Saccharomyces cerevisiae S288C: one gene and its partners. The gene in region 1 interacts genetically with each later gene. Each region holds a gene or a part of one and is shown on either strand. Other genes may lie near its edges.

Region 1 (3,759 bases):
AAACAATCTAGTATGTGTACTTACATAATTACACAGTCTTTTTTTTTTTTACCTTGTTTATCCTTCTTGTTCTTCAAGCTTGTAGGTTTTTTTGACTCAGTTTTTACTGCAGGAAAATCTTTACGAATCATGTTTGAACTGCCCATATTTGATAAACTAACTTCTTGCTTTGCTGCCATCGACTGCTCAGCAACTTCCCTTGACATTCCCTTTGCTGAGGAAGAACTTTTCCTGATGCTTGTATCAGAACCCGTTTTAATACCATTTCTATTCGTGTTTGAATTCATGTTAATTTGCAAACCTTGTGGCTCACGATCACGTTTTGGATTTCCAGTAAAGAATGTTTCAGATTTTGAAGAAACTCTTGAATTTGACCCTACGTTACTTGTTTGACTGTCCACAGTAGAGAATAAATTCAAAGTACTGATACTTTTATTTTTTTTATGCTGTTTTTTACCAATGCTGGCTAGTCCACCGTCCCTTGAGCGTAGCTTATTAATCGCCCTCTTGTCCTCGTTCCCTGCAGCTTTCTCGTACCATTTCCATGCGTATTCCATGTTACGATCACAGCCCTTGCCATGCTCATAGAAGTAGCCCAGAGTGAATTGGGCCTTTGGCAAACCAGCATTAGCTGCACGCAAGGCCCATTGAAAAGCCTCATTTTCATCTTTTTCAAAAGCAGGTTCTGCTCCCAGTAAGTACCATGCACATAAACCTAACATTGCCACAGAATCGCCTTTTAACGCTGCCTGCGTATAATAGTGTACAGAAAGTGATGTATCCTGCCCTACTGTATCATTACCTGTTTCATAAATCTGTGCCAACAAAGTTGCTGAAGGAACATGCCCTAAACTTGCTGCTTGAATATATAGTTCCATTGCATACTTTTCATCCGGAATGACAACATCTAAGAACCCTTCATGATAAATCTTAGCCAATTCGTATGGTGCTGCGGCCGTCAACTCATTAGCTCTTGCTGCAGCCCTTGATAACCATTTTACCCCATTTAATTTAGTATTAACGTCGGTTGGAAGACCCATTCTGCCGTAGAATGAATAAAGTCCCAATTTATACATTGCTGAGGGATGATTCCTGCTAGCCGCAAACTTTAAAAAATTGACTGACTTACGAGAATCTCTTGTTGTTCCTAGTCCTTCTTCTAAGCAATGCGATGCTCTGTAAGCACTTTCTATATGACCATGCTTTGCAGCTGCTTGAAATAAGACAAATGCTTCTTTATTTTCAATCTTCCCAAATGCTCCGGATGAGTAGCCGTCCGCTAATAAGTATTGGGCATCTGAATAACCCTTTATGCTCAGTTTCTTCAAATAACTTTGCGCTTCTTTCAAAAACTGAAGTTTTAAGTCAGATTGGCTGACATTTCCTTCCTTGTCACTATCTTGAACAAGAGCATTGGAAGATTCAATAGTCAGTGCGGTTTGTAACATATATTGCGCATACTGGAATAACACTTCAGGATCTTTAGATTTTTTAACGTTTTGTCTATACATTTCTATTGTTTTTAGCCTTGGAACTAAGGAAGTATTATTTTTACCACCCAAATATCGACTGATCATCTGATGTGACAAATCTGCTACAGATTCATTAGTAGCCGTTAATTGGGTATCACTGCTACCATTCAACAGGTACATGTGAGACAAATCTACAGAACGAGTTCTTTTCTTTATTTGCTCCTTCGTAAGAGATGTACTCGAATTTGTCTGTCTTAATGCTCCCGGTGACGGAGAATTTGTAGGAGTACTTCCCAAAGAACTTAAGGAAGTATTATTTGAATTATTAAGATGAAGCTGTGGGGGTGGGACTGGAACGAAATCTTCCTCTTGACTATTGCCTATATCGTTTGATAGTAGAGGTACTGACGCAGCTCTAAGATGCTCATTGATAAGCGGTTGGTTTGCCGACCGCTTAGGAAGGTCTGCGGTACTGAAGTCTTCATTGTCCCTGTTTTCCCTATTCTCTTTATTATCTGAAAAATCTTGACCTACCTTCAACGAACTGTTTTGAAACTGTAGGCCCCTGTTATCAAAATTTATATGCTGTGATTGCATTAAATGCTTCTTATATGGATGTACCTGCGGTGAACTTGCCATTTTTTATCCTTTTATTTTAACTTTATCACCAAAAAAGACGAGAACCTGGTAGTATACAATGGAAGGCTTATTAACAGCAAGTCTAAAGTCAAGTGCCAACACCTAGTTTGTCTCTACTCTTAAATCTTACATCATCCTCGAGAGGGTCTGCAGAAAGAATTTTTCGTTCTTTTTTTAGCAAGTCAAAACGCGAAGTGAAACGTGGGAAAATATAACGATGACCTTTCTTAAAACATGCATGAAGACTCGTGAAAGTCATATGTACATATGTCGTATAGATTTGCAGATAGTTGCAACAAATAATTAGCGATTAGTTATGGCCTATACATGGCAGCTAAGTGCGATGGCATGTTCAAATGTATTATATTAAATCAAATGAACTTAAAATGCGATGTTTGGGTGCAAAATATCTATAGATGATAGAGACGGTTCATTGATCTTACGGATCAACTTTGAGATCAGTAAGGCTGACTAGATGGTACAATTTTGTGCAGTCAATGGACTATTAAGGGATCGCAAAGAGGTATGTGCGCCAGTTTAAACGAGGTAAAAAAGAATGACACCTATGGGGTCTCACAAAAGGGCTACAATGACAATTTCAGTGAAAGTGAGGGCGTCCTTCATGGTAGTAAGTCGATGCCCACTAGCATGAAAAATATGCTACAGTCTCCCACGATGGTCAACATGTGTGATATTTTACAAAACAAGGAAGCTGCTAATGACGAAAAACCTGTGATACCTACTACGGATACCGCCACTGCGGGGACTGGTACTGAAGATATTAGCTCCACTCAATCCGAGGAAACTGATCAGAATAGTCATCTTATTGCCTCAGAGATCTTGGAAGGCACTTTCAAAGATGTATCTTACAAGGAATATGCAAATTTCTTGGGAAACGATAACAATAATCAAGTCTTGACTGAGTTTGTAAAGTTATTGAGTCCTTTGCCGTCGTCACTATTAGAAACGCTTTTCAATTTATCGAAAAGTATATATTTCATTGCAGAAGCGCAAAATATCGACCGGATACTAGAGTGCTTGAGCATAGAATGGATAGCTTGCCACCCGAACACACATTGGAAGTCAGGCTATAAGTCATGTCATATAGTCTTATTTTCCCTGTTGATCCTTAATTCGGATTTGCACAACAACTTTCAAGTTGACCATAAAAAGATTAAGTTTTCCATGGTTGCATTTATCAACAATACACTGAGGGCACTAAGAGAGGAAAATGAATACGAAGAATTGAAAATATACTCCCGCGAACATTTGATCATCGAAGAACTTTCCGAATACTATAAAACGTTAAATGAAACGCCTTTACCGTTATGCACAGAATCTAGAACATCAATAAATATATCAGATAACCAATCTTCCTTGAAAAGGTTCTCTACTCTAGGATCACGGGAATTTAGTACATCAAATTTACGTAGTGTTAACTCTAATTCTACTACACTATATTCAAGAGATGGTCAAGTATCTGTACGAGAAATGAGCGCAAAATCAAATAAAAACTTTCACAATAATCACCCCATGGATGCACTCTACCTTAAAGAGTCTTTTGATGACGGTTTAATTACCGAAAACGGCTCCAGTTGGTTCATGGACGATTTAATTCTTATAAGCAAGAAATCTTTACCACGTAAAT
Region 2 (3,061 bases), on another chromosome or scaffold:
TCGCTAACCAAGCGTGGGCTAAGAGTTTAGGTGTTAAGGACACCACACACATCAAGTTTGCCTCCGACCCAGGCTGTGCTTTCACCAAATCCATTGGTTTCGAATTAGCCGTCGGTGACGGTGTTTACTGGAGTGGTAGATGGGCCATGGTTGTTGAAAACGGTATCGTTACTTACGCTGCCAAGGAAACCAACCCAGGTACCGATGTGACCGTTTCCTCAGTCGAAAGTGTCTTGGCTCATTTGTAGATGCTATGTAATAGACAATAAAACCATGTTTATATAAAAAAAATTCAAAATAGAAAACGATTCTGTACAAGGAGTATTTTTTTTTTGTTCTAGTGTGTTTATATTATCCTTGGCTAAGAGGCACTGCGTATACTTCAAGGTACCCCTGTGTTTTGAAAAAAAACAACAGTAAAATAGGAACTCCGCGAGGTTCAGGAACCTGAAACAAAATCAATAAAAACATTATATGCGTTTCGAACAAAATTAAAGAAAAAGAATAAATATAGATTAAAAAAAAAAAGAAGAAATTAAAAGAATTTCTACTAAATCCCAATTGTTATATATTTGTTAAATGCCAAAAAAGTTTATAAAAAATTTAGAATGTATAAATAATAATAAACTAAGTTTACAACAACAAAGCAGCGGCACCAGCCAACAAAGCACCAGCAGCTGGCAAAGCCTTAGCAGCAGCACCAGTGTAAGAGGTGACAGAGTGAGTTGGAGCAGCAGAGGTGGTGTTCTTTGGAGCTTCAGTAGAGGTAACTGGAGCAGCAGTAGAAGTACCGTTCTTTGGGGCTTCAGTGGTCAATGGGCACCAGGTGGTGTATTGAGTGATAACGTCATCGACGGTGACGGTAGCGGTGGAAACCAAAGCTGGGGAGACAGTTTCAGAACAGACGTGGTCTTCACAAGAAGTGATGGTGACCAAAGTGGTAGATTCTTGGCTGACAGTAGCAGTGGTAACGTTAGCAGCGGCAGAAGCGACAGCGGCGACAGCGGCGATAGAAGCGACAGTAGAAAATTGCATTATTGATATAGTGTTTAAGCGAATGACAGAAGATTAATTTCTTGGTATGTTAGGAAAGAATAAAGGAGAATAAGAATAATTAGAACAATGTAGGATGGAAAGAAAGATTATCAAGCATGCCGACTTTATATACTTGAACGGAGGCAAAGGATGCAAAATTTTCTCACATTTCTTTCTGCCGTTATGTTGGAAGTAAGACTCCCATTATCGCAATACTGCAACACGAATATGCAAAATTTGCTGAGTTATCGCAGATAGTTGTTGCAAAGATAGCGGCGTAGGTGGCCGCGAAATGGGGAATTCCAAAACAAACGGTTTTTTTACTCCTGAGAAATACTTGTACGGGATAATCCAGGGCCTACCACCCACGCTTCGAGGATTGGCTTTTATTTTTTTTTTTTTGGTGGCGTTTTATTTCTTTCCCGCTTTCTGGGACTTGTGCGGAGTTTTGAGAGGGGCGCGCGGCAAAGGATTCCCAAAACGGAAATCAGACGCCAATAGCCAGCACTCAAAGCAGTTCTGGACCCATTCCGATTTTCCCATTTGGTTCTTGCGCGTGCTGATTCCGACACGCGCGTCTATAAATAGCATGAAGTATCCGCACACCGCAGCGTTAGTGAGGTGAGGGTGGCAGCAAGCTAATTCCCGCATCTGGAATCTGAACTGCCCCTTTTGGACTAACCGTGTGGTTCATGGGTGGGCGAAGTGCGCAACCTCGAAGGTTTTCTTTTGCGTGTCGGATTTTACATCCGGCGGTAGCGCATGATGCCATGGCTGGCTCCAGATACATCCTCAGGGCACCAGCATCTATAATTAGATTGGCGCAACATGGCTGGCTGCACTGCTGTCTTCACTTCTTTCTTTTTCCGGCAATGAATGATGTATGTTTTGTGGCAAAAGGGTCCGCATTGTACCTGTTTACAGTTGAGATTATCGTTTTTGGTAGCCCTTCATTACGGCATAACGTATTAAGTTTCTTTTATTTTGCTTTGCCCTGGTTTAAAAGACAATGTCGATTAAAAGTTAATTTTAATCGATTGAAGGAAATAAGAGGAATAGCGCAAGTTGTTAGGAAAGCGTTCTTTATCTCCAAGACTTTGCCCTGTATATAATTAAACACCTCAAAGCGCTTCGTCATGGATGGAGATTATTCGGCATTTTGACATACAGGAGTGCCACATGCGAAAGCGGAGTGGGCGTATTCTCTGGTTACCCTACATGGTCTGGCGGCGTTATTATACGGGAGGATCTTCGAAGGGAAGGAAGGAAAAAAAAAAAGAAAAGGCCAACGAAAAGCAAATATTATCTATCGTCGAAATTATCATACTATCTTACAATAAGAGTAGTAATTACTTTCTTGTTTGTATAGTGGAAGAGGAATTTGCGATAATAATAGCAAAAGTAACTAATCTCTAACAAGAAACCTTATTTATTTTCTCTTTCTTCTATATTGGTAAATACTAGACTCGAAAAAAAGGAACAAAGGGAAAACAGGGAAAACTACAACTATCGTATATAATAATGACCACTAACGAGGAATTCATTAGGACACAGATATTCGGTACAGTTTTCGAGATCACAAATAGATACAATGATTTAAACCCCGTTGGGATGGGGGCATTTGGGTTGGTTTGCTCAGCCACGGACACTTTGACATCTCAGCCAGTTGCCATTAAGAAAATCATGAAACCTTTTTCCACTGCAGTGCTGGCCAAAAGGACATATCGTGAACTAAAACTACTAAAACATCTAAGACACGAGAACTTGATTTGCCTTCAGGACATATTTCTTTCTCCATTGGAAGATATATATTTTGTCACGGAATTACAAGGAACAGATTTACATAGACTCTTGCAAACAAGACCCTTGGAAAAGCAATTTGTTCAGTATTTCCTATACCAAATTCTAAGGGGTTTAAAATACGTTCACTCCGCGGGCGTCATTCATAGAGATTTGAAACCGAGCAACATTCTGATTAATGAAAACTGTGATTTGAAGATTTGCGATTTCGGTCTAGCAAGAATTC
Region 3 (3,759 bases), on another chromosome or scaffold:
GGGAATTGTGCTATATATATATATATATATATATGATAATATTGTATAAATTTCTTAAGGTTGAAACCTACCTAGAACAGTTTAATAGAAATAAATATTGTCCAAATTTCTTTTTGGTTGTAGAATGTTAATTGTGATATTTCATAAAGCTATATTTTCAAATTCTTCTCTCGCTTCTTCCACTTTAGCATCATCACTTCTTATTTCATTTTCTTCCTTTTTGTTCATTTCTTCTGTTTGCTTATTTACATCATCGTCTTTTTTTGCTGATTCTGTGACATGTTCGTTTTCAACGTGTTCTTTTTCTTCAACCTTTGGTTGCTTTTCGTCTTCTTTCCTCTCGCTTTCTTGTTTAATGTCTACATTATCAGCTTTGATTTCATGCTCTGCTTGTCCAAGGCTTTCTGTATTTACAGTTGTAGTCTCCGCTTCGCTAGGTTCTGTTTTCACAATTTTGACAGATTCGTGATCTTGAACAGATTGTACATCTGCACTACCACTATCTTCGCCCTTTATGGATTCTGCGTTGAGGGTAGAAGGCTGTTCAGCTGCCACTTTCTTTTGCGAGGCAGGCACGTATTTCTGCTCCTGCAAGGATGTGTCAGGTTGAGATTTTTGCTGTTGTGATCTCAAGTTTTCTTGATACTTGATCCACGTTCTTCTTTTTAAAACTTCGAAATAATCTTGTATAGGACCATTAGATTTCTTATCCCTGAAGACCAATTCACCATCACCGCTAAAGTAGTCGTCATTGTCATCTACTAAATACCAATTACCAGCTTCCAAATCGTTGGCAAACGATAACAGAAATTCACCCCAATTTTCAGCAATGACAAATTTCGTATCGAAGTCCCTCCCAAATGTTATAATTTGAGCATATTTACCATTTGGACCAGGCGCCAAGTCAACACCGATATGGTTACCGGCATTGTCCGTTATTAAAGGAATCCAAGCAGGATGTGCATATACCGGTTGCACTGCATTTGGAGGAATAGATTTTTGATCTGGGATATTTGGCAGTTTGAACTTGTTACCATTTAGTCTTTCCATAGATGAAGAAGAGCCAGTAGATGTAACATGGGATAAACCTTGTTGAGATCTTTTGTTTAGGTTCTTTGCGACGTTTCTCCAGGCCTGAGTCATAGCTACAACCTGATCTAGTGTCATTAGTTGGAAGCCATAAAACAAGCCAGAAGTACCGGTCATCGATTCTAAATCTTCTTGGCCATCATGAATTTTGAAAGACGCTTTTACTGGGTTGGGAAAGCTAACTTCCAAGTCTTCCTCTGCGTGAGTGATATCGTTTTGGGTGCAAGGATCACTCAAAGTTGCATTTAAATCTGGATTATGTTCACTGGTCCAAAAATCGATGTGTCTCCAAGCTAAGAGGGTTTCAGAGACACCATCGTTTGACTCCGTGGACGTAAATTCATCAATATTTATGTCTTCATTAGATGGCACGCCATTTTGAAATCCCATGCTCATTTCCTCATCTACACTATTCAAATGCATTTGAGAGGGATTTACCTGACCATTGTTGCTGTTTAAACGTTTACCCATGTTAAAAGTAGGCGTTTCATCGGGGTTATACTCTGCATAATGGTCGTCAGTGCTGAGGGAGTATACCCATTCTTTAACTTTTCTTTTGAATAGATCCATTTTATACTAAAAAATTCTGCCAAGTTGTCGCCTATAGAACGAATGTGCGTTTATTTTGTATTTTCTTTGCGTATTGATAGTATAGCTAGTCCTTGTATATTTTCAATTTTTCGATAACTTTAGTCGAACACGAAAAAAAATAATTAGCGGATTTAATTTTGTACCTTTATTTTCAACAGGCTTGATTCTTGAATGGCGTATTTGCAAATATTTCAATATTGAGAGAAGCTAAAATTTCTAAGAATGGACTTGCGTTTGAAGATTGCGTAGCAGCGCAAAGAATTGATTAAAATGTAATTTACTCTGGAAAGAAAACACAACCTTTTCAGTTGCGGTGCAAAAACATTCTTTTGATCTCGAAGTAGGAAAACTGACATTAGAAAAAGAAAAAAAAAACAATCTGCGAATTATGCATTTCTTTTTTTCGCTTTTTTATTTTCTTTTTTCTTTTTTTCGACCTCCAATAGGGCTTTGGAAGCCCTATATGTAATCTAGGGTAATGACATATGTCACGTGCTTTAGGGCTTGGTGCCTTTATTTTTATGATTATGTGACAAGGATCTAAGGGGGTTTTCCAGATACGGGAAAAAATAAATAGTAGACTATCCTAAAAAGGAATGTAATTAACTTATGATGTACAAACGGTGGTGCAATGCATGTTAAGCCCTGCAGGTAAATGGATCAGTGCGGAGTACGCATCTTTTGCGATGTTCCCATGTAGATTGGAGCCTCTCTGCTTCGTTCTAACTCTCCTCCGTTGTCATAAAGGCCTGCGATTAGTAAGGTGGAAGGTATCTGAAGTTAATGCTAGGATTTCAAATGTATACCTTTTTATTCTCTTGAACAAATAACGAAATCCTCTACAAAAGGTTTCTATTGAAAGTTCCCAATAAGCAGCAAATTCTTCTTCCTCTACTTATCTGTGATTTTTTTTTAAAAAAAGTTAATCAGAGGCTACTACATCATTGCGCTAAAAAAAAGTAACAGATTTGCGATGTCATACGGCGGATCGGCATCCCAAGATATAGTGACAAAATTGATTAGAAAAATCCAAAATACGTCTGTGTCTTGCACCAGGAGGGATGAAAATCTAGATTCTTTTAATCAACACTTGAAAATGAGTCTTAAAGTTGCGCATAACACGAAGACATTTGCAAAGCATTGCCTTCATCGACAAGTATTCAAGAATACGTATCGGAAAAGAAAAGCAGTGGAAGATCAAAGGAAAAACTTGAACACGCAACTTAGGCAAAAATTTGCGTCGCCGTCAGACAATTTGCTTTCACCATGCTCTAGAAAACTGAATGATCACAAGTCAAAACTTTTCTCAGCCAAATCGCAACCCAAAACACTGGAGTTTGTGCGGGGCAAACAGAATATACCACGCAAGCCGAATGTAGACATTTAATTTAACGGATGATGATCATAAATTGGCCTATTTTTTTGCTGTATGTGTTACATATTATACTATATACGTTCTCCAACAATACAAGATGATACGGGGTAATACTCCTTATTCTTATTCTAGAAGACATACAAATATTTATGTTTTACGCATCGCTTTCTTTCCCTTTATTTTGTATTCACAAGTATATGGCATCTTAACATTGTTACTCAATTCTTAAAGATAATATCTAGCCTTCGCTATTTATTTGCCCCTTCCATCGATTCTTGCATCCACTACGGTATTTAGCAACAATGCTTCATTATCCAAGATGACTCTATTTGGAGAGCTAGCCAAGATCTTTGCAATGTCCCTGGCTGTATCTAATCTTTTCAATTCCACGTAGTCTCTTGATTTCTTGATGGCTTCACCAATCAGTTCGGCGGATTTGGCTTCACCTTGTGCCCTCACTACCATACCTTGTTTTTCTTGTCTGGCTTTATCAACTACAAATGCAGCCCTTTGAGCATCTTGTTGGGCAATTTGCTTTGCTTCTACAGCGTTCGTAAACTCTGGCGAAAAAGTCATGTACGTAATAGAAACATCATCCAGTAGGATATTGAATTTGCTTGCACGACGAACCAAATTCTCGCGAATCAACCTGGAAACTTTTTCTCTTTGAGTGATTAATTGTGACGCATTAAATTGGGCCACTA

The links.
Region 2: mutations in SKT5 (region 1) and CCW12 impair growth when combined (synthetic growth defect), as found in Saccharomyces cerevisiae (5 studies listed by BioGRID, with this or other methods).
Region 3: mutations in SKT5 (region 1) and SMI1 are lethal when combined (synthetic lethality), as found in Saccharomyces cerevisiae (6 studies listed by BioGRID, with this or other methods).

What each region holds. Positions count from the first base shown.
Region 1 is NC_001134.8:105,296-109,054, forward strand, and holds SKT5 (Skt5p), read right to left. Parts: upstream 2,112-3,759; coding exon 21-2,111; downstream 1-20. Other genes in the region: Arf family guanine nucleotide exchange factor YEL1, read left to right, coding at 2,637-3,759. UniProt on the Saccharomyces cerevisiae protein: Activator of the chitin synthase CHS3 which polymerizes chitin, a structural polymer of the fungal cell wall.
Region 2 is NC_001144.5:369,064-372,124, forward strand, and holds CCW12 (Ccw12p), read right to left. Parts: upstream 1,036-3,061; coding exon 634-1,035; downstream 1-633. Other genes in the region: thioredoxin peroxidase AHP1, read left to right, coding at 1-248; YLR111W (uncharacterized protein), read left to right, coding at 1,328-1,660; YLR112W (uncharacterized protein), read left to right, coding at 1,728-2,147; mitogen-activated protein kinase HOG1, read left to right, coding at 2,557-3,061. UniProt on the Saccharomyces cerevisiae protein: Component of the cell wall. May play a role in the formation of a tightly packed outer mannan layer, which protects the inner glucan.
Region 3 is NC_001139.9:949,241-952,999, forward strand, and holds SMI1 (Smi1p), read right to left. Parts: upstream 1,660-3,759; coding exon 142-1,659; downstream 1-141. Other genes in the region: BNS1 (Bns1p), read left to right, coding at 2,654-3,067; prohibitin subunit PHB2, read right to left, coding at 3,308-3,759. UniProt on the Saccharomyces cerevisiae protein: Protein involved in the regulation of cell wall assembly and 1,3-beta-glucan synthesis, possibly through the transcriptional regulation of cell wall glucan and chitin synthesis.